Linked DNA regions of Schizosaccharomyces pombe. Changing the gene in region 3 together with the main gene of any one other region gives a genetic interaction. Each region holds a gene or a part of one and is shown on either strand. Other genes may lie near its edges.

Region 1 (6,988 bases), 3.3 Mb from region 3:
ATCCATTCATTGATTGCATTTCTAATTAGCATATATTACTACAGGCTATTTTCATATATTATGAAACCCCACAAATGTTTGACTTGGCTACCAAGGCACTGCAAACACTTTACAACTCCCATACTCGTGAAGGCGAGACAAAGGCAGCTTCCAAATGGTACAGAAATCCCCGAAAAGATTTTCCAAGTCAAGAAGCTGCTTTAGTAAGAAAGAAGAAACGCGATGCTTTGATTTTAAAAAAATATTTACTCAATGTGGATCCTTCTTTGTCATTTCGTGCAGAGGTAATATTTACATATTGAGCTCATTTATAATAACTTGACGATTATTAGGGTTTATTCACATTACCTTCAGATGATTTGGACGTTTACGAATTTTTCGGTGGAGAAAATCTTACTTTATTCAATCAAGTCCGTGTGGATTGCCAATGTTATATCCACTATCTGCCCAAGTTAGCTGTATGTATTTTAAGTAATTTCTTTTTACAGGATGCTTACATTTCATTCTTTCAGGCCTTTTATGTTCGATGCGACAGTGTAAAAAACTTAAAGGTTGCTTTGAAGCGAGTCAAACACATTTTTTACGAGCAGGTCTCTTTAATTAGATTAGAAAGGACTCAGCCAATACTGCATCTAATGAATTTTGACGACTACTCAACCTCTTATGAACTGTTTTATGATCGAAACTTCCCATTAGCGAAGAAATACAAGCCAAATTCTATTTATCTGCATCGCCTACCCGAATCGATACCGACTCCTGTCGATAGTGTTAAAATTAACTTGTATGTGTTTTTTTTTAAAAAGGCTGGTATATTTATTGACATAACTATAGGATTCGTGAAAGGAGTTTCAATCTTTTAAAAAATTTCGTTTCAGCATCTTTATTTAATGTTTTTTTATTCTCAGGTACAGTTTTTATGCGAGTTAAAGTTGGTATACCTCTATTTGAACGACTCAAAGTTGGTACTAATAAGGTGAAAAATAACTCCGTGAACATTGCACAAAGTTTTTTGGAGCCCCAAACACGGTCAACGTTTTTGAGGTATTTATTCTCTGACGAAGTTTCCGTAAAAGTTTGCCATGTTTTAAAAGAGCTCCGTAGTCCCACAGGCGAAAAACTCTTTGAGTCTTTTTCAGATGATCCTATCACAGCCGTACATTTTGAAGTGATGAATTGCAAAGGTGTTCAAGATACATTGACTGCAATATGGAATACTAATTCAGGCAAACCTAGCGGGTGGTATCTTGAAAGTACTATGTACAAAGCCTTGGACGTTACCTATTACAACTTGAAGTACGTGTTTTTACTCATTTCTTTTCTAACACTCTTGCAGTACGCTTTCATGGAACCTTTACATTGAGTATGGACATCCAACCCAAAACTCAACTTTTTACAAAGAGTTCATATCAAATATTTCTATGTCGTAAGGCTGACTATTAAAAGAAAATTATAAGCTGACCATAAAGTGATGATGGAAGAATCTATTTTATGAATACCAGAGACATAAAAGTTCGGAGTCTAGTTGTCAAATTGAAGGTAAATGAAGTTCATTTAGGCATTACTGTTGGTTTTTACAATTTTTGAGTAAGTAGTTAACTAATTTTAGCATAAATATTGGCATTTATCTTCCGGTTTTCATTTGCATATAACTCGGTTTGAAGCACACGATATGGGCAAAGTTAAAGATATAGATACAGACTTCGAACCTGGTCTCCAATGTTACCAAGTTGGTTCTGACACTTCGGTTCTTCGTTATGGACTCTCGTTTTGGGATCCAAAATGGGATTATCTATTAGCTGATAATCAACATAAACAGCAATGGCAAGCTCCATCTTATAAACCACTGATATCGGAATTTTTCCCTATGGGCATTGAACATTTTATCGAAACGGCACAATCCATTGTTATGGCTGTAAATCGATCTACTATTGATTAATAAAAAAAGGATCACGATATTATTTTTAAAGAAACACATTTAATGTTTTGGTTTAAGTTGTCTATCGAGAGTTAGATGTTATTTGTTTTCATTTTTATTATGAGCAATATACGTTCTGCAAGCTATGAACATAATAAAGTAGTATTCACCTCAAGGAACTATCATTATCATTATTATTATTAATATTACTCCGACTCATGGTGTAGGATATGGGATTCCCAATCGGCAAGTAGCTCAACATCCAGAAAATATAGTACTATTTTGTTATCGTAAGGTCCTAATTGTAAAAAAGAAATAATAGCACAATACTCGTAGTTGTTTAAAGCAGCATCATTAGCAGAAACACAATTGTTATAACGTTACTAGCCACATAGATCAAAACACATATGCGACAGATAATCAAATCTAAGACTTAAAGGTGGGATAATTTAAAGGCATCCATAATTACACTTCTCCAAATGATTTTGGTTTCATAATGACACCAGCATGTACTATGCATCTGGCAATCTTCAAGTACCCGAGCATATAATAATAGAACAAAACAAAAACAAAAGCATTAGGAATTATCGGCGACTCGTTTACAGGACATTACGGTTGCTATTAGTGATAAACTAATACACATATAAAGAGCGCTTGAACAAGTTGGAATATTCACAATTGAAAGAGGTTGAGATAGTGATATGCACAATACACTAAATTACCATTCTTCATCTTTCATGTCATGTTGTATACGTTTTTGCTTGTGAAAAGTATAATCTTCATCAGCGTCATCGCCAAGAGGGATAGAATTCTTCTTGATCCAGTCACGAACAAAAAGACTAGCTTTCATAAACTTTTTGGAGGCATACTTCTTGAAAAAAGCTTCATGTTGAACAGGCTTTTGTAAATAATTAATCATCTTCTTAACAACGGAAATTAATTGGTACTCCTCATAACCTGAGTAATGCACAAGATTACGATTCCACGGTCCACGTCCAAGCATTTCCCTGGCAAGGTACATAGCGGCAGCACACTGTTGGGAAGGGGGATAAGGTAAAAGTTTATGATCTAAAAGACCAATTTCAACAAGATACTTTGCAACAGTTCTTGTTTGAATATCGTAAAAGTCGGCTTTTGAGATACGACGTAGGAAATTCATAGGATTCGGGTAAGCAAGATTAAACTCTAGGACACGCAAAATGTAGCGCTCGGCTTGAAGAATTTCCTCTTCATCATACCCACCATCCGCCATATATACAAAGTTTTGGACTGAAGGGCACATCACCTCCTCATACTTGCTAGCGATGAACAAGGCAGCAATGCCAACCAATTGTAGTTTGTTAAGAGAGCATACCCGCAATGATAAAAATCTATCAATAATATTTACGGCCAAAAACAATGTTTCAGGAAGCAGTCGGAAACGAGAATGCACTTCAATTAACCAATCGGTAAGTATTCCACGCATCTTCCATGCAAGCTCTTTTTGACGATCCATATAAGTAGGAGAGGGCATAGTTTCAATTTCCAACTCATTCAAATATTCAAAAATATCAACGACATATTCAGAAACCATAAGAGGGTCAGCCCAATCTTCTGCATCCAAGTCATCCCAATCTTGAGATTCGGGACTCTCAACACTATCACGGTGAAGTTTGGGAATATCTTTCGAAACAACGCGTTCATCAACATCTTTCTTTAATTTTTTTGGAATAGTTGCTTGATCCTTATGGAAAGCATCAACCCCATGGGTTGAAACAGAGTGTGATTTCGTTGACAAGTGTTGAGGTAACGAGGGGACTGATGAATTAAAAACAGAAGGTTGGCGACGCTTCTTGGAAGCGGGTTCATCATCTGTTGCAGGGATTATAGACTTTTCCTCGAGAGCACGACGGGTACTGACAGAAGCAGTAGTGTGTCTGACATTTGTGTTTTTACTAGCTAATGGAACACCTTCTTTGTTGTGAAAATTGGAAACATCATCCAACGCATGACGCTTCTTAGGAACGTTGGTGGAAGACACAGTGGCTTTCTTGCCATTTACTAAAGAATTTTCTGAAGAGTGCAAAGAGCTTTTTGCACGGGCAATATGGTTTGAAGGATGATTTTCGTCATTGTTGCCCAAGGTATTTGCCAATAGGTGCTGGCGAGTTAAACGACGGGTAGTCATGAGGAAAAGAAGAAACGAATTCTGTCGGGGATTGAAAGAGAGGAAGGGAAATTAAAATATTAATTGGTTCAGGTAACAGAAATGATAAAAAAGAGGTTTTGAACGAACAACCTTTTTAAAGTGTCTAAAAACGTGAAGGGGTAGTACGGGACGGAGAAGATAAAATAGAATGAGTTATACTTGAAAGTTTATACAAAAATTTTAAGGATAAAATCCAAGCAAAAATGTATGTTTCTCGTACGTATAAAGGAGAAAATAATAGCCTTTGACCGAATCTAGAATTTGGCAAGAGCTTTTGAGACTTCTTTTTTTCAATAAAGTAAGGGGATTGCGATGAAGTCCAACAATGGATATAGGAAACGTAGAACACGAAACTGAACTTTGAAATGAAGCTATATGTAGAATCGATGTACGATTTTCCTATATTAACACCAGAACAAGAAAAGAAGGGTAAATGTTGACTTTAAATGACGTTAGTAAATCTAATGAAAAAACAAAATGGCACAATAAAGGATTATCCTATGAAAAAAAGAAACTTTGATAGGAAAATAAAATGGGTAGTTATTTAAATTTAAACCCCCATGTTTTACAGCACCCACCCCTTAATCCCTTCATAAATTTTAAAAAAATAAAAAAATAAAAAGAAATGAAGTTAGACTTAAAGAGGATTTCATGTTTTCGCTGAACTAGGTGAAGTCGAGGAAAAAGGGTGACTATTGATTGGGAAGAAATTTTCACATCTTCAGAAGGTCGTATTGTATGAAAATGTTCTTACACAACCAAAACTGTATTCCCAGCCTTTAACATTACTTACAATCTGATTAAGCTCTTGTTACAAGCAAGAAGACAAGACGAAAGAACAAGCTTTGCTTAACCGACCAGGTTCCGCTTCTTTTCTCGCCTCTAGCTCTAGACAGTGACTAATAGGGGAAAAGTCCTGTTCTTGCTTATATTTCTATGAGCAGGAATGTCGTTTAAGGGTAAAAACTCGTCAAGATGCTGGTTAAGGACAGCTCGTGGTAGTGGAGTCGACTGAAAGGAGTATCGTAGAGGGCGTAAACACTATGGGGTTGTCGGGGTAACGCAACGTTGGCAAGCTGGGAAACAAATACAAACATCAAATAATATGGTAATTTTCAATGTAAACAATAATATAAATATTAAACAAAAACAAACACGAGTTTCGTAAAAATAAGAAAACGGAGATATGGAACCACAATTTAATGTATATGAGCTACCTCACTATTGTAAAAAAGAGGTAATAATGTTATTGTCTATGAAATTATGCTGGGCACATTATATAAAGTAAAGAACGTATATAATCGAAACATGATTGCTTGGGAAATGCAATTAAAAATTAGTTCTTCAAGTTTTCTTTAATAATTACAATATTTAGTGGGTAGCTTACTCGTAAGCAGAATCTGAGCAGGGTAAACAACAAAGTCATCAAAAAAGGGGAGTTAATAATTAAAAAAATTATATGGAACGATTTAATAATGTAAAATAGAAGTCAAATTTTTGAATTTGAGATATGGTCCGTCTTTATTTACATCAGTCAAATGCTTCAAAGAAAAGTGAGAATGCCAGTACACCCACTTTAGTACTATATTATGGAATTTCAAAGGACCCAAATTCATCATATTGAATCATAGGGAAGGAGCAAACGCGCTTGTAATAAAAGAATCTAAATCAGCCTTTGTAAATTTGATATACTACGTAATGAGTAAGCAAAATGAAAAACGATAACAACTTAAATGTATATACACATCGATAAACTAGCAAATGAATATCGACAAATCCTCAATACACATACCTTGTCTTTATTTTTTGTAAAATCACTGTTGATGTATCTAAACAGAGGTTAGCTATAGTGGAACTAACAGTTTTTAATTGATCTTCATACTTATCATAGAACCTTTGATATAAAGGTAGTACAGTTTTCTTAACTTCTTGCAATAGAAAAGTGGCAACACCAGTTTCAAACCTAACAGATTCACGATGCACTTGAACAACAGATGTAACTTGTTCGTTGAAGTTTCGGAATTTTTCCTTTGTAATCTCTCGTTCTTTAGCAGACATAGTGGATTTGTTTTGAGATTTTGTATAGGTAGAATCGAGCATATTTTGAGAACACTGTCGCCAAACTTCCATATACATGGTTGAGTACTTTTGTGATCGATCTCCTAGCTTTTCTAAATCAACGTCTTGTAAAAATGATGCAATTTTTGACTCAAGACATTTTGCTTCAAAATAGACGCTGATGTTTAAAAGCATTACGCCCATTTTCCATCCAATCGTATCCACTGCCTGGGCAGCTGTTTGAACAGAAGTTAGGTAGGAATCCATACAATCCATAACATAGTTCCTCGTAATGTCTTGAACTGAGCGCGCAGGACTGAGATCAGCATTAATTTCGTGTCTCCAGCCCCAATTACCAATACTTTCAAGCAAATAAGAGGCATTTTCATGCTCAGCAAGTTCATTCAAGAAACTCATAATACCATGAGTCATTTCACTGACTCTATCAGTTGTGAGAGGGACTGTTTTGTTGTTATGGCAAGTGCCATTATACAGCCTCGATATAGAAGAAATCAATATCTTTTCCATTTCACGACCAACACCATTCACAAAACCAAGGAAAGAAGCATCTTCAAAAGGCATAAGATTATTCATGTTTTGGCGTGTAACAACGATACAATCAATTAAAGACAACAAAACAAAATTTTCTGCAGCACCTCTTTTTTCATAAACTCCCTCAAGCTGTCTGGTGGCATTGGTGACAGTGTTTATGGCAGGCTTAACGATTTTGGGATAAAGTGCCTTAGCAGTAACTTGATCAAACAAGAGTAGCAATTCCGAGGCAACGGCTGGTAATAGTCTAGATAAAGCAACTAAATTGATCGAAA
Region 2 (5,002 bases), 250 kb from region 3:
TTAAAGCACCGAAAAGATGGGAACTATGTTGTTGTAAGTGGTATTACTCCTACACCTTTTGGCGAAGGTAAAAGTACAGTTGTTGCTGGTTTGGTTCAAGCTATGGGCCATTTGGGTAAGCTTGGAATTGCTTGTGTCCGTCAGCCGTCCCAAGGGCCGACATTTGGTGTTAAAGGAGGCGCCGCTGGTGGAGGCTACGCACAATTTATTCCTATGGATGACTTTAACCTTCATATGACTGGAGATATACACGCTGTTACCGCAGCAAATAATCTTTTAGTCGCGGCTCTTGAAACTAGGATGTTTCATGAAAACACACAATCTGATGCTGCCCTTATAAAACGTTTGATCCCTGTTAAAAACGGGCGAAGAGTCATTCCACGAGGATTGATCGGTAGGTGGAATCGTATTTGCGCATCTCATAACATGGATCCAGAAGATGTTAATAACGCATCACCGGAATTACTGAAAGAGTTTGTGCGGCTAAACGTAGATCCTGACACCATCGAATGCAACAGAGTATTGGACGTCAATGATCGATTCCTCCGTTCTATTGAGGTTGGAAAAGCATCAACTGAAAAGGGACATGTCCGTAAAACTTCTTTCGATATCTCTGTGGCCAGTGAATGCATGTCAATTCTGGCTCTTTCATGTGATTTAAACGACATGCATTCTCGTTTATCCCGTATGGTTATAGCCAACGACAAATACGGAAATGCTATTACTGCTGGCGACCTTGGAGTTTCTGGAGCATTGACCGTTTTGCTTAAAGACGCTATCAAACCTAACTTGATGCAAACTTTGGAAGGAACACCAGCGTTTGTTCACGCAGGACCTTTTGCAAACATTAGCATTGGCGCGTCTTCTATTATCGCTGATAAAATTGCTTTAAAATTGGCTGGTACAGAAAGCTTTGACAGACCCGAAGATGCCGGCTATGTCGTTACCGAAGCAGGATTTGCGTCTGACATGGGAATGGAAAAATTCTTTAACATCAAATGTAGATACTCAAAACTTGTACCTAACACCGTTGTTTTGGTTACCACTGTTAAAGCGCTTAAGTTACATGGAGGCGGTCCCAAGTTAAAACCTGGTGCCCCAATTCCTGAGGAATATCTTGTTGAAAATCTAGACCTTGTAAAGAATGGATGTTCCAACATGGTAAAACACATTCAAAATTGTCATAAATTCAATATTCCTGTTGTTGTCGCCATCAACAGTTATAAGACTGATAGTTCTAAGGAGCATGAAATAATACGCGAGGCAGCGCTACAAGCTGGAGCTGTGGATGCTGTACCTTCGGATCATTGGGCCCAAGGCGGCAAAGGAGCTATTGAATTGGCCAAGTCCGTAATGACGGCTTGTGATCAGTCATCCAATTCGAAGTTTAGGCTTTTGTATGATAGCGAGACTTCAATTGAAGATAAAGTAAATGTGATTGCAAAAGAAATGTATGGAGCAAACGGTGTTGAATTTAGTTCTCTAGCTAAGGAACGAATAAATACGTTTATCAAACAAGGGTTCGGTAACTTACCAATTTGCATGGCGAAAACCCAATATTCTCTTTCGCATAATCCCGAATTTCGCAATGTTCCAAAAAATTTTACAGTTCCTATTAGAGATATGCGTTTGAATGCTGGCGCTGGCTTCATTTATCCGCTAGCTGCTGAAATCCAAACAATTCCTGGTTTACCGACTGCGCCTGCCTATTTAAACATTGATATATGTGAAAATGGAGAAATTGTTGGGCTGTCATAAATCTACTAAGAGGAAATAAAGAAAATGTTGGCTATTCATTGGTAATTTATTATTGTTTTAGTTAATTAGGTTTATGGGCGTTATTAAAAAGGGTTTAGAGTTTTGATTAAATAGCTTAGTTTTAATAATTAAGTTCATTAGAATTTGGGTTAATAGATGGGTTTGAAGCTTTATGCTAACATATCCGCTATACGCTGGATAGATATAATCAAATCGTGAAACCGATTTGAGTGTTTAATATAAGTTTCATCTGCAGAACCATTTGTGGGCAAAGAACACAAATGTTGAAAAGGTTTGAAATCAAACGCAGAAGGCCAAATAATTTCAAGCAAGACCCAGAACGAAGCGCATAAAATTTCCGTCGGCCTATATTCGATAAATTGACAATCTGTTCAGATTAGCGTGCTATCCATTAATATATTATCAATCTACTAACCCTTCATTACCTCAACCAGTAAATACTGCCATTCAACCATCATTTGATCACAGCTTTCAGAAGGCAAGGATTTAAAGAATACATGTTGGAAGATCAACGGTGTTAAAAAAGACTCAACAGAAGGAAGAGAAATGACATATATATCGAAGTTTAATAAAGCAAGAACAATTTTCTCGTATTTCTATTAATTTGTTAAAGAAACATGTTTCAACGAGCTGTAAATCACTACAAACCTCTAAGTTTTTTGTAGACAAACTTGGAGCCAAATTCTCGCAAAAAGACTTCTTCGCTACAAAAGAAATTAATAACAGTTTTTATCGCGAACATACCAACTGAGTAGTCACTTGTAAGTTTAAATGCAATGAACAGACAGCCGATAGCATAAATTTTAAAACTGGTAGTTGGAATAGTTGGTTTAACGGTGAAACAACGATCCAACAGAGAAATTGCAATGCACAACGTGTCCATAGATACGTAGCCGACAGTTTCCTGTTTCGTTAGAATCTCGAAAAATAGCAATGCTGACGCACTTCATAAAGTACAGAAAAAAGTTGCTGACGCTTTTCCTTATAAGCAATGTTTTGATTCAGAATAGAAGGGGATATTTTTGTGAGTCCTTTCTTCTCTTGCTCAATGATCGAATTAACGGATGGGACGCGTCTAAGATTTATTAAATGACTAGAGAAAGACTCAGAAAATGTAACATCTATTTCATTAGAAGTTGTTAACGGCCCTTCAGAAATAACCTCTTTCTCGGATTTGCTGTTAATAGCGGGAGTGTTTAAGAATAAGCTAAATTCGTGTTTAGATGTAAGCATTTCATAAATTTTATAATTTAAATGATTATTAGAATAAGGATGTTTGTTTGAATTAAGAAATTCAATAGTGATTTTCTAAGTCTAGCCGTATCTGGGTATGTGTTGTGGTTAAGGTCATTTTGGTACGTTTACGCGAAAATGCTTTTGGATATCAATCATGCATAGTAGAATTAAACAGTCTAATGCCATATAAATGCTTATAGCATATACTTATATAAACATGAAATAGAAGTATAACAATAATTAGTATTAGAATTGCTATAAATTCCAGAGAAGAGAAAACACTGCTAGCATAAATAATAACTATGGCATTCCTGAACCGGTGAAGTAAGGAGATACTCAGGTTTGATTTGCATTGTTAGAAAAAGCATGTGTAGATGTAACGGATGGAACAGACAACACTTGATAGGGTGGAGGTAATGAATCTGAGATGCTCGCTGAGGCAGAAGGATAACGAAGATTAAGAGTTCGAGAGATATTTATAAAGTTGTTAGAAAACCCGTATAAGTAAGTGTTGTTAGATGCTTCACGAGTATTGGGAGCTTCAGGAAGTAAAGCAGGTTCTGGATATGGCGGTAAGACACGATTCCCATTGCATCGACCAATACCTATTCCATGATAAGATATGCGAGGTCCATGCTTTTTAAGTTTCGCCAACTGACGAAGCTGAAGTATTCTGGCGTTAGGCGTATCAAAGGATGGATATGGATTTACACCGCCTTCGCCAGCTTTAGAAAAATTCAAGACAACATCAATTCCTTCTCTCTCACCTTCAATTCCAACTAGCCGTTCATTTTCTTGAAGGCTCGCAGAATATTTTGGTAAAGTGATAGAAGGCTCGACTATTGGAAGATCGTACATATCTGTTTCCAACTCTTCCTCATCATCAATAGACATGCAGCAGAAAATGGATCTTAGCAGTCTGTTCTTTTGGTAAGTACAACTATGATATCTTTTTATAATGATCAAGGCAATAAAGAAAATAGGGATTAAAACAGAAAACCAAAATACCTAAAATGTTAACCTTTAAATTTCAACAATTTAATTAACTTACAAACCGTAGTTCTTTTAGGTCTTCTGTGCTAGCAAAGCTAGAAGCTTGATCATTTTCATCAGACGATTCAACCATTTGATCCTAATTCAAAGCACTCAGCCAAGCTTAGCATAAACTTGTTAATGAAATAACAAGCAAAGCTCCAAAAAAAAGAGAGAAAGATTGATTTTCCTTCGGATCCCACTCCAGTTACAAATGGTTAAAGGATGAGATTCGACTTCATGCGAATAATGCAAATACCAAGATCATGTAAACAAACAAACGCTCGAAAAAAGTGCCAAGTTCAACTCATACATTTTATCGAGTATAAAAATATGGAGACAAAATAAATAGGTTTACTATTTCATCTATTGTTCATTTTTTAAACGATCATGGAATCTTATGTAATGATTTGTATTTTGAGTTTTCTATTAATGCAGCAGCTTCAAGCGCAAACGTCTGCTACTCATTAAGTAATCCATCTCCCCTTAAAGATAAAATTAATAAAGGACTTTAACTAATTTTTTTTATCATCAAATTTGGTTCGCTAAGGAGACAACAATATGCTGAAGCGTTTCTCACGTATAGTTATTTTTTTTATTTTATTCCTCTTTATTAAGTAGTAAAATTAAATTTTGAAGGTTCATTGGCGAGAAACGCTTCTATTATGCAGCCGACGTTTTGTCGTTAGTAGACCTAGTCCATCTGGAAATATCCAAGCTAGAACCAAACTTGACTTTACGGCCAACTTTGCTTTATTTTTAATATTTTTGGATTATTTACGATGGACAACGAAAATAATAAAAATACAAAAAATTCACAGCAAGACAGCTCATTTTCTGAAGGAGGAATTCGTGAACTGCTAGACCGATTGGCGTTGAGATCTTTGATAGAAAAAGAAGAAGCTGCAGCTCCCCCAAAGACTTACGAAGATTTCAAATTTTGGAAAACCCAGCC
Region 3 (7,502 bases):
GAATTTAAAAAATAAGTGCTTGACGTCGGACTTAAATATATGGGTTCTCCTAGAGCATCTAAGAATGAACGTACAGGAAGTATGGGTTGGGAATTGATTATTAAATTATTGGCACTTCTAATAACCTTATCTTGGTTCACATGAATTGCATTAGCAGATATATTTTCAGTAAACTTGATGGAAGTATTAAGATCAGTGTTTTGAATAGATGAGAAATTTGAATCCGAAGAGGGGGGAGTAGATGAAGAAGGAAAAGAAACGTTTGCTGACTTGACAGCAGACGAATCGTCTTTATTGTTTGTAGCAGCAACCTTTAAAACAGATTGATCAATTGACCCGGGTATTAGCAAAGAACGAACGTCGCTTCCAGAAGCTAATGAAGATTCGACATGTTTGCATAGTTTGACTAAACTACGTGTGTCATGAGGAAGAGAAGGACACAGCAATTCCATCAGATATTCGAAGCATTTCTGCCTTTGACTCAGTTCCGCAATAAATTGTTTTGAGGGAGTACGCTCTTTTAAAGAATCAGCATACTTACATTGCGAAGGCGTAGCAATGCAAGCCTGACATGGTTCAGAACCACTGCATCGAATTTTCTTGGCCCGACAAGACAGACATGCCCGCCTTACTCTTCTTCTACTGTCCAAAGGAACACGCCTTCTTTGTTTATACTCTTCCTCTTTGGCTTCTAAAAACAAAGAACGACTAGAAAAGTCAGAGGGACACATAAACTTCGCATAATAACAATTGCTACATTTAAGATTTTCATATAGGTAAATCAATTTCGCTGTCGGTCACAGGTACCCGAAGGTGGTAAGTAGCAATGCTACTTCAATTTTAAATAGTATGCATCAGCAAAATTAAATTTGCTAGTAAGCTCTGTCAAGTCCCCAGGTTAATATAAATGTATTAAATGCAGTAAAAAAATTTATTGTTTAAATGAATATGTTAATGACAACGATTAATTGACTGTAATTTGGTAGTATACAGTTTTGATCAATTTTATAAAACATGGTATTTACACAGTGTTTTTTGGTATCAGTTTATTTGTTTATTGAGAATATCAAAGACAGTTAAATTAAATAATAATAATTCATAAAAGTTAATGAAATTCAAACATTTGTTTCCTAAGTTTTTTTCATTACTAATGCAAAAAAAGTTGAATATATATATTTTTCTTTAAAAAAAATTGGATTACATCAACGTACCAACTAAAATTGTGTCAATCTTATCGAACTAGCAAACTGGCAGTAAACTTCTTGAAAGCGTTACGGTCAATCTTTTGAACTTGAAATCACTCTTAAAAAGACTTTCATTCTTGTTGTTTACGAACCTAATAACCAATACCATAAAATATCAAGCAAATATGGTAAAAAATATCGAATTCCCAAAATGCGTTGTTTTTGACTTAGACTACACTCTGTGGCCTCTTTGGATAGATACCCATGGTATTAAATCTTTTACTTTGATCTACTTTATGTTTTATTTTCTAACAAAGTTTCACAGTCACTGCACCATTTAAGCCTTCCAAAAATGACCCAGGCGTTTTGATTGACAAATATGGCACAGAGATTTGTTTTTACTCAGATATAACTGGAATTTTACAAGAGCTAAGGAACCAAAAAGTTACTTTGTGCGTTGCTAGCCGTACTTGTGCTCCCAAGTATGCGAAACAAGCATTGAATTTGATGAAGGTACCAATAGATGGAAGTCTTAAGCCGGCTATCGAATTTTTCACTTATGTAAAAGCTTGGCCAGGTATGTCTTTTAATACATTTTTGTCAATACAGAAAATATCAATAATCATATTGCTAACTAGTTATTGTGAAATAGGTAGTAAAATGGATCACTTCAAAGAGATCCACAACGAATCTGGAATTGACTATCGAGAAATGGTGTTTTTTGATGATGAGTCTAGGAACAGAGAGGTTGAAAGACTTGGTGTTACATTCTGTTTAGTTCCTGATGGCCTTAATCGTGCGTCCTTTGAGCAAGGTATAAACAAGTGGAGAAAATTAAAAAAAACTCACTAAATATTCTTTCATTTCTAAAAAATCATATGCATGGTTAATTTTTCTTTTGAAAGAAAAGTTAATCAATTTTGCTTGCATCTTAAGAAAACAACTATCGTGCTTTAACTTATATTTAGAAGTCTCTATTCGAATTGAGATGTATTTTGTTTAATCACAGTATCATTGTTAAAATTGGGAAACACTGATACTACTTTTAATGGGTGAAGAATCAAATTTAGAAATTAAATCTATTAAAGACCTAAATTGCTTCAATCTGTAATATGGGGTTTCTTATGAACTTTCTCTTTTCTTTTTGCAAACTAAGTAAGTATCATATAAATAAATAACAAAAATATATACAAACGGTATAATGTCATATGAGCATAGTTGCAAACCGGTTTAGGAAAACAAAGAACATAACAGAGTAGTTTAATTGATTAATATAATGAATTTTATAAAAATTCTTAAAAAAAATTACATCACTATACACTTACTTTTCTCAAGTAAATATATAATTTTGAAATTATATCTCCATTACATGTTTGTCTAGAAGCATTGCAATATATATAAATCGAAGAAGAAGCAATGTTAAAGTTACAAAGTACGCTCAGTATCCTTTTCAGTCATGTTGCACCAGGCAGCCATTGCGCATTGTTCCGGATATTTCTTTGCTAAAATACTAGAAATACGGCCTAGTGAGGAAAACAGTAAATCAGTACATTCCTCATTAGCATACCTCTTTGACATGTTTTCCATATATGATGTTACGGTATCCAAGTCTTCAGGCCACAAAAAGTTATCATCTTTGCGATAGGATTCCATAGAAGGGTGTGTCAAAAGAAACGATCCGACATGTTCGTTTACGATGTTCATAACTGAACATGCGATTTTGGAAGCGGGAAATTTGAATAAATTAGGTACAAACATTGATGCATCAAGTACTAAGAAAAAAATCGGGTCTAAAACAGGAATATACGAAGCTGGTGTAGGGATTGAGATATCCCAATCAAGAGTATCAAGTATGTGGCGTTCCATACGAATAAATAAATCCTCAGCATAGATGTTTTTACAAGCTAACTTCAGTTCTTGCAATAATGGAACACGGTCTTCTGTTTCATGAAATTTACTGGCAATCCAAAGACAAACACATGCTACTAACTGAATGTGTTTGCAGTATACCACTCTCCTCGAGACATATGAATCCATGAGGGAAATACTAAGCGGAAGAGTATCAATAGACAAGTCGAATCCATTATGTATTTCTACAATAAAATTAACGAGTGCAGGTCGCATTGACCATCTGAGTTCCGGTTGCTGATTAGAAAGATGGACATTCAGCAAAAAATTTTTCTCTCTAGTAATCAGATGATGGATAATGTCTTCCTGGTACTCACCTAAATACCCGTTCATTGATAAACCAGTGAGTAAAGAGGATTGAGTGTTATAAAGTAAGGCGCTAGATTCCGCTGACAATGTGCTAACAGAGTCGACAACAAATGCAGTCTCATTTTTAAGAGAGGGAGATTTGGAATTAACGCCTTTTGGTGAAACAGCTAAAGAGCAAGGGCCCACTGATAGAGAATATGAACAGGCAGCTAATATTTTAGGTTCTATACTTGAAGATGAAGTGGGAGTATGAGCAGTAAGTTGTTCCTCATTGGAAGAAACTAACATACTGGGTAGACAGGTATTTGAAAATAATGAGAAGGAAAGAGTAGAAAAGCTCTTCACAGTCGATGAAGTTGCAGCTCAAAGTTCAGTGAATTATTAAAAAAATGATACTGAAGAAAAAATAATTGGACATAAACAGGCTCAGATTGCTTGTTAAGAGGTAGTGGTCAAAGCGAATAGTGTTTAACTAACTGAAAGCGATACAACGGCGGAAAATTAAGGGACGATTTAAAAAGGAAGAAAAAAAAAGAGTGAGGTGACGATTAAAAAAAAGGGAAAAATTACTGGGTTTTCAAGGACGCTAAAGAGATATCAATAATGGAAGGGGTAATATAAAGGAATCGAAAGAGTAAATTGCAAAGGACTTGTAAAAAGCCAAGACGAAAGAACCCAATAATATATAGTGAAAAAAGGCTATATAAATATTAAAAGAATGCAAAATGAAGCGGAAGAAATTAGATGCGATAAATATATGTTTCCAAAAAGGTTCGGTGAATAGTTATTTAGTTTGATTAACGGATTTCAGAAGCAGACAATGCATTCATACTAATGAAAATATTACAAAGAAACACAAGGTTAATTCCAAAAAGAAAAAAAAAATAAAAAAAAATAAAAGGAAGAGAAAGATATTTAGTAAAATATGTCCATATGCAGCAAAAATAAGGAAATAAATTTCAATTAAACCAAACGATGTATTGCAAAAGAAAAACAAAATTTGGTTACGCTGTTCAAACTTTCGAATTCATTTACAGTGCAGTCAATTTAATTTACCGCAACCTTGATAGGACAGAAATTATAAAAGAACACCAAAAGCTGGAGAAAAGTAAGTGGTACAGACTCTTTTAAAGAAAACAATTCAGTTCCGTCAGCTACTATTTTATAAAAAATGATAAACGGATACGACTAAGAGATCGAATTTGTGAACGATTCGTACCAAGCAATAAATAAAGTTGTCGCTTGTATACCAAAAGCAATTATGGTGTGGTAAGAAAAGAGAATGTAACAAAAAACAAGGCGGAACTGGTAAAGAGATAAATTATGGAAGGTTATAAACGGTGGGCAATCGATATCTTTATAAGGATAAATCTTATAGTGTAGTGACAATATCGCGAATCGGTATCCTTACATTGTGAATGTACAATGTCCATTCTAACTCGTAATTTCTGCAACGTAACTAGCTACTGTTAGTAACAACAACCGGAATTTTCGGATTTGAATTAATTAAGCCTCAAGTGATCTCCATCTTGGTATGGCCGATTCACAAATTTACCATACCAACGATGTGTACTGAAAGCGTAAAGTACTAACACACAATTAATTCAATGGGTCAAGCACATCATGTAAGTGACGACGTAGCCCAAAACTATTCCATTCATAGCACGCCATCTATCAAAGAACTTGAACAAAGAAACTAGTACAAAATTTTGATTTTCAAAAGCGGTTAATTGATAAGTTACTTGCTGTAAATCATATTGGCCAAATCGTGAAATGTACGTACTGCTAACATTGCGCACGCAAGTAAGAAAAAGTGGGGACAAGAAGCAGAGGTAAATCAATTATTCAAGAATGTAAATATTGACCCGTTCGATCATCTACAGCTTTTTTTTTATGAAAATCACGTTATTAACAAAATGGCTGGTGCAATCCAGCTATAACTACAGCTAGATAGATTAACATTAATAATATCGATTTTCTTCACAATAGCATATACCGCAATCTTTATTTTACATAGCAGAAGGAAATAAGCAGCCCAATTACTGTGTGTAAATGTTTATCACTTAGTATATGGATTAAACAAATTGTAAATAATAGTCAAGACTTAAGTCAGTTAATTTCCGATGAAATAATTAATTTTTGAGGAGAATGTGGGGAATGAACATGAATAACTAGCATGGATAAATAGATTCGCAATCAGTGACATAACGATATTTATGAGCCGTCTAGTTTCACAGATAATTCCACCTGGTGGTGCGGATAAAAGTAGGATAGAAAATAACAGAACCAAAACGTTGAAAAACGCATTGCTTGGCTTAAAGGTCATAACATTATTCTATTCAATGGAAAAAAATGTTTGGTAGTTGAACGAGATTGCTTCTCAACGCAATGTTTTATTTTCACTACGAAATGTTCTCATGCTTCTAATCTATGACTTCTACTTTACATGCTGTTGATTCAGGTGGTGTTTTTGTACCAAAGTGGGGGGTCTAAGTCGTTAGTACTATTGTCCTTCTTCTGGTTAGTACTGACAGTTTGTATTACATTTTAAGTGGGATCGTAGTAACTAAATGGGGGTACATAAAACTGGTACTACTAAACAGATTTATCTAAGTTGTGAACAAATTTCAATAAACAAACGAATGTATAATCTCATCGGCAAGAAAATAATTTTTTACGTCAATCACTTATTTCACTTCTTTATTTTATTTTGAATATATCAAATGTAATCAAGTTTAGAAACGTAGACGGGTTCATGTATGAGCTTTCTTCGTTTCATTTGCATATATATCCTTTGTAAGATTCTGTTACTTTGAATATGTTTTCTTTATAAGTTGTAGATGGTAATTGCTACTCTTTAAATACAAGCTGTCTTCTACAATAATTTTAATTTTACCAGAGTATTTTTAATTATCCTCATGCGAGTAATTTTCTAATTATGTGGTGTAACAAAAATAGCGTTCGGTTAAATTTTAGTTCGCCGTGTTAAGTCTATTAATCAAAAAATTTGGGTTCGTAAAATTGTACGCCTATCTGCCTAGAATCAAGTGAAACCATATTACAGGCATAATGCTCCAATCGATAATGGGAATAAACAACTCAGACTTTGGAAATTCACAGCTACATTGCCATAATCATATTGTGGATGGGTGTGTCACCTTGAAATGTTTTATTGATAAACTAACTAGCAACTAATCTATGCTTTTTATCGGAAAAAATAAAAATAAAATAAACTCCTATAATAAAAGACCTTTTTGTACAAAATCATAATAATACCACCCTATTCCAGACATTTTTTTTACGTAAAATGACATATTAAAACCTCTTCGTTTTTTTTAGTACGAAGAAACTCCTCCATCTTCATACATAATACATATTTACGAGCCAAATTTGTGCTCATAAAAGCTTGCTGGCATTGATTTACTCATCAACATATCGGCGATTGGTCGTTCGACTACCAGCAATTCAGAGTTTCCTACAGAGCCTACAAGTAGCATTGGTCGATATTTGTGAGTAATCCAGAAACACCTAGAATCCCCTGTTCCATAATTTGAAATGCCGTTCGAATTAGCATTCGCCAATTTTTTGTCATTCAGATTCCCGTCAACTGTTGCATTCATTTCAATTTTACGTTTTCCGGCAGCGCGAGGCGCTGGTAATTGAAGATTAAGATCGAAAAATGAAACCCAGTTGGCTGACCAAATCCAGAATCGACTCGGATGTTTAGAGTCGAAAAATGCTCCGAATGCCTTATCTAGAAGTTGCGAAAATTCTTTGGGCATATTTGTAGAATTGTTTTTTGACCATTCAGATAATTTACGGGATTGAACATCAAACTCATAAACTTGATTTCCCGCCGTAGCAACAGCTAAACGGCCTCGTACATCTGGACGAAAAGCCATTGCACGAACATAAGTGTTAACTCGTGGTAACTCTGAATATGTTAAATTTGACAAGGAGTAGCAGAAAATATTTCCAACTGTGTCCGCAACAGCAAAATAATCTCCATCCGAAGATACCGCTATACTGCAAATACCATCACACATGCTGCTTACATTGCTTCGCTGACGAGGAGCAATTTTCTTGCTAGTGGGTTGTGAT

Evidence for each region. Genes that interact genetically often act in the same process or in processes that back each other up.
Region 1: of puc1 (region 3) and cdc13, extra expression of one is lethal in a mutant of the other (dosage lethality), as found in Schizosaccharomyces pombe (one study listed by BioGRID).
Region 2: of puc1 (region 3) and crs1, changing one enhances a phenotype caused by changing the other (phenotypic enhancement), as found in Schizosaccharomyces pombe (one study listed by BioGRID).

The regions. Positions count from the first base shown.
Region 1 is NC_003423.3:418,217-425,204, reverse strand, and holds cdc13 (G2/M B-type cyclin Cdc13), read right to left. Parts: upstream 5,095-6,988; 5' UTR 4,897-5,094; exon of another isoform or gene 4,770-4,896; intron 4,544-4,769; 5' UTR 4,083-4,543; coding exon 2,634-4,082; 3' UTR 1,937-2,633; downstream 1-1,936. Other genes in the region: protein dsh1, read left to right, coding at 45-284, 333-458, 513-781, 832-1,293, 1,334-1,423, 1,467-1,536, 1,607-1,936; exocyst complex subunit Exo70, read right to left, coding at 5,729-5,794, 5,896-5,932, 5,986-6,988.
Region 2 is NC_003423.3:3,450,395-3,455,396, forward strand, and holds crs1 (cyclin Crs1), read right to left. Parts: upstream 3,123-5,002; 5' UTR 3,013-3,122; coding exon 2,725-3,012; intron 2,684-2,724; coding exon 2,524-2,683; intron 2,484-2,523; coding exon 2,428-2,483; intron 2,376-2,427; coding exon 2,195-2,375; exon of another isoform or gene 2,147-2,194; coding exon 1,929-2,146; downstream 1-1,928. Other genes in the region: ade9 (trifunctional formate-tetrahydrofolate ligase/methenyltetrahydrofolate cyclohydrolase/methylenetetrahydrofolate dehydrogenase), read left to right, coding at 1-1,758; protein mug110, read right to left, coding at 3,352-4,023, 4,067-4,141; myr1 (N-myristoyltransferase 1), read left to right, coding at 4,830-5,002. UniProt on the Schizosaccharomyces pombe protein: Has a role in meiotic chromosome segregation.
Region 3 is NC_003423.3:3,696,964-3,704,465, forward strand, and holds puc1 (G1 cyclin Puc1), read right to left. Parts: upstream 4,727-7,502; 5' UTR 3,690-4,726; coding exon 2,610-3,689; 3' UTR 2,235-2,609; downstream 1-2,234. Other genes in the region: DNA-binding transcription factor Thi5, read right to left, coding at 1-731; SPOM_SPBP8B7.31 (acid phosphatase), read left to right, coding at 1,370-1,451, 1,510-1,761, 1,837-1,956, 2,010-2,074; U3 snoRNP protein Utp4, read right to left, coding at 6,779-7,502.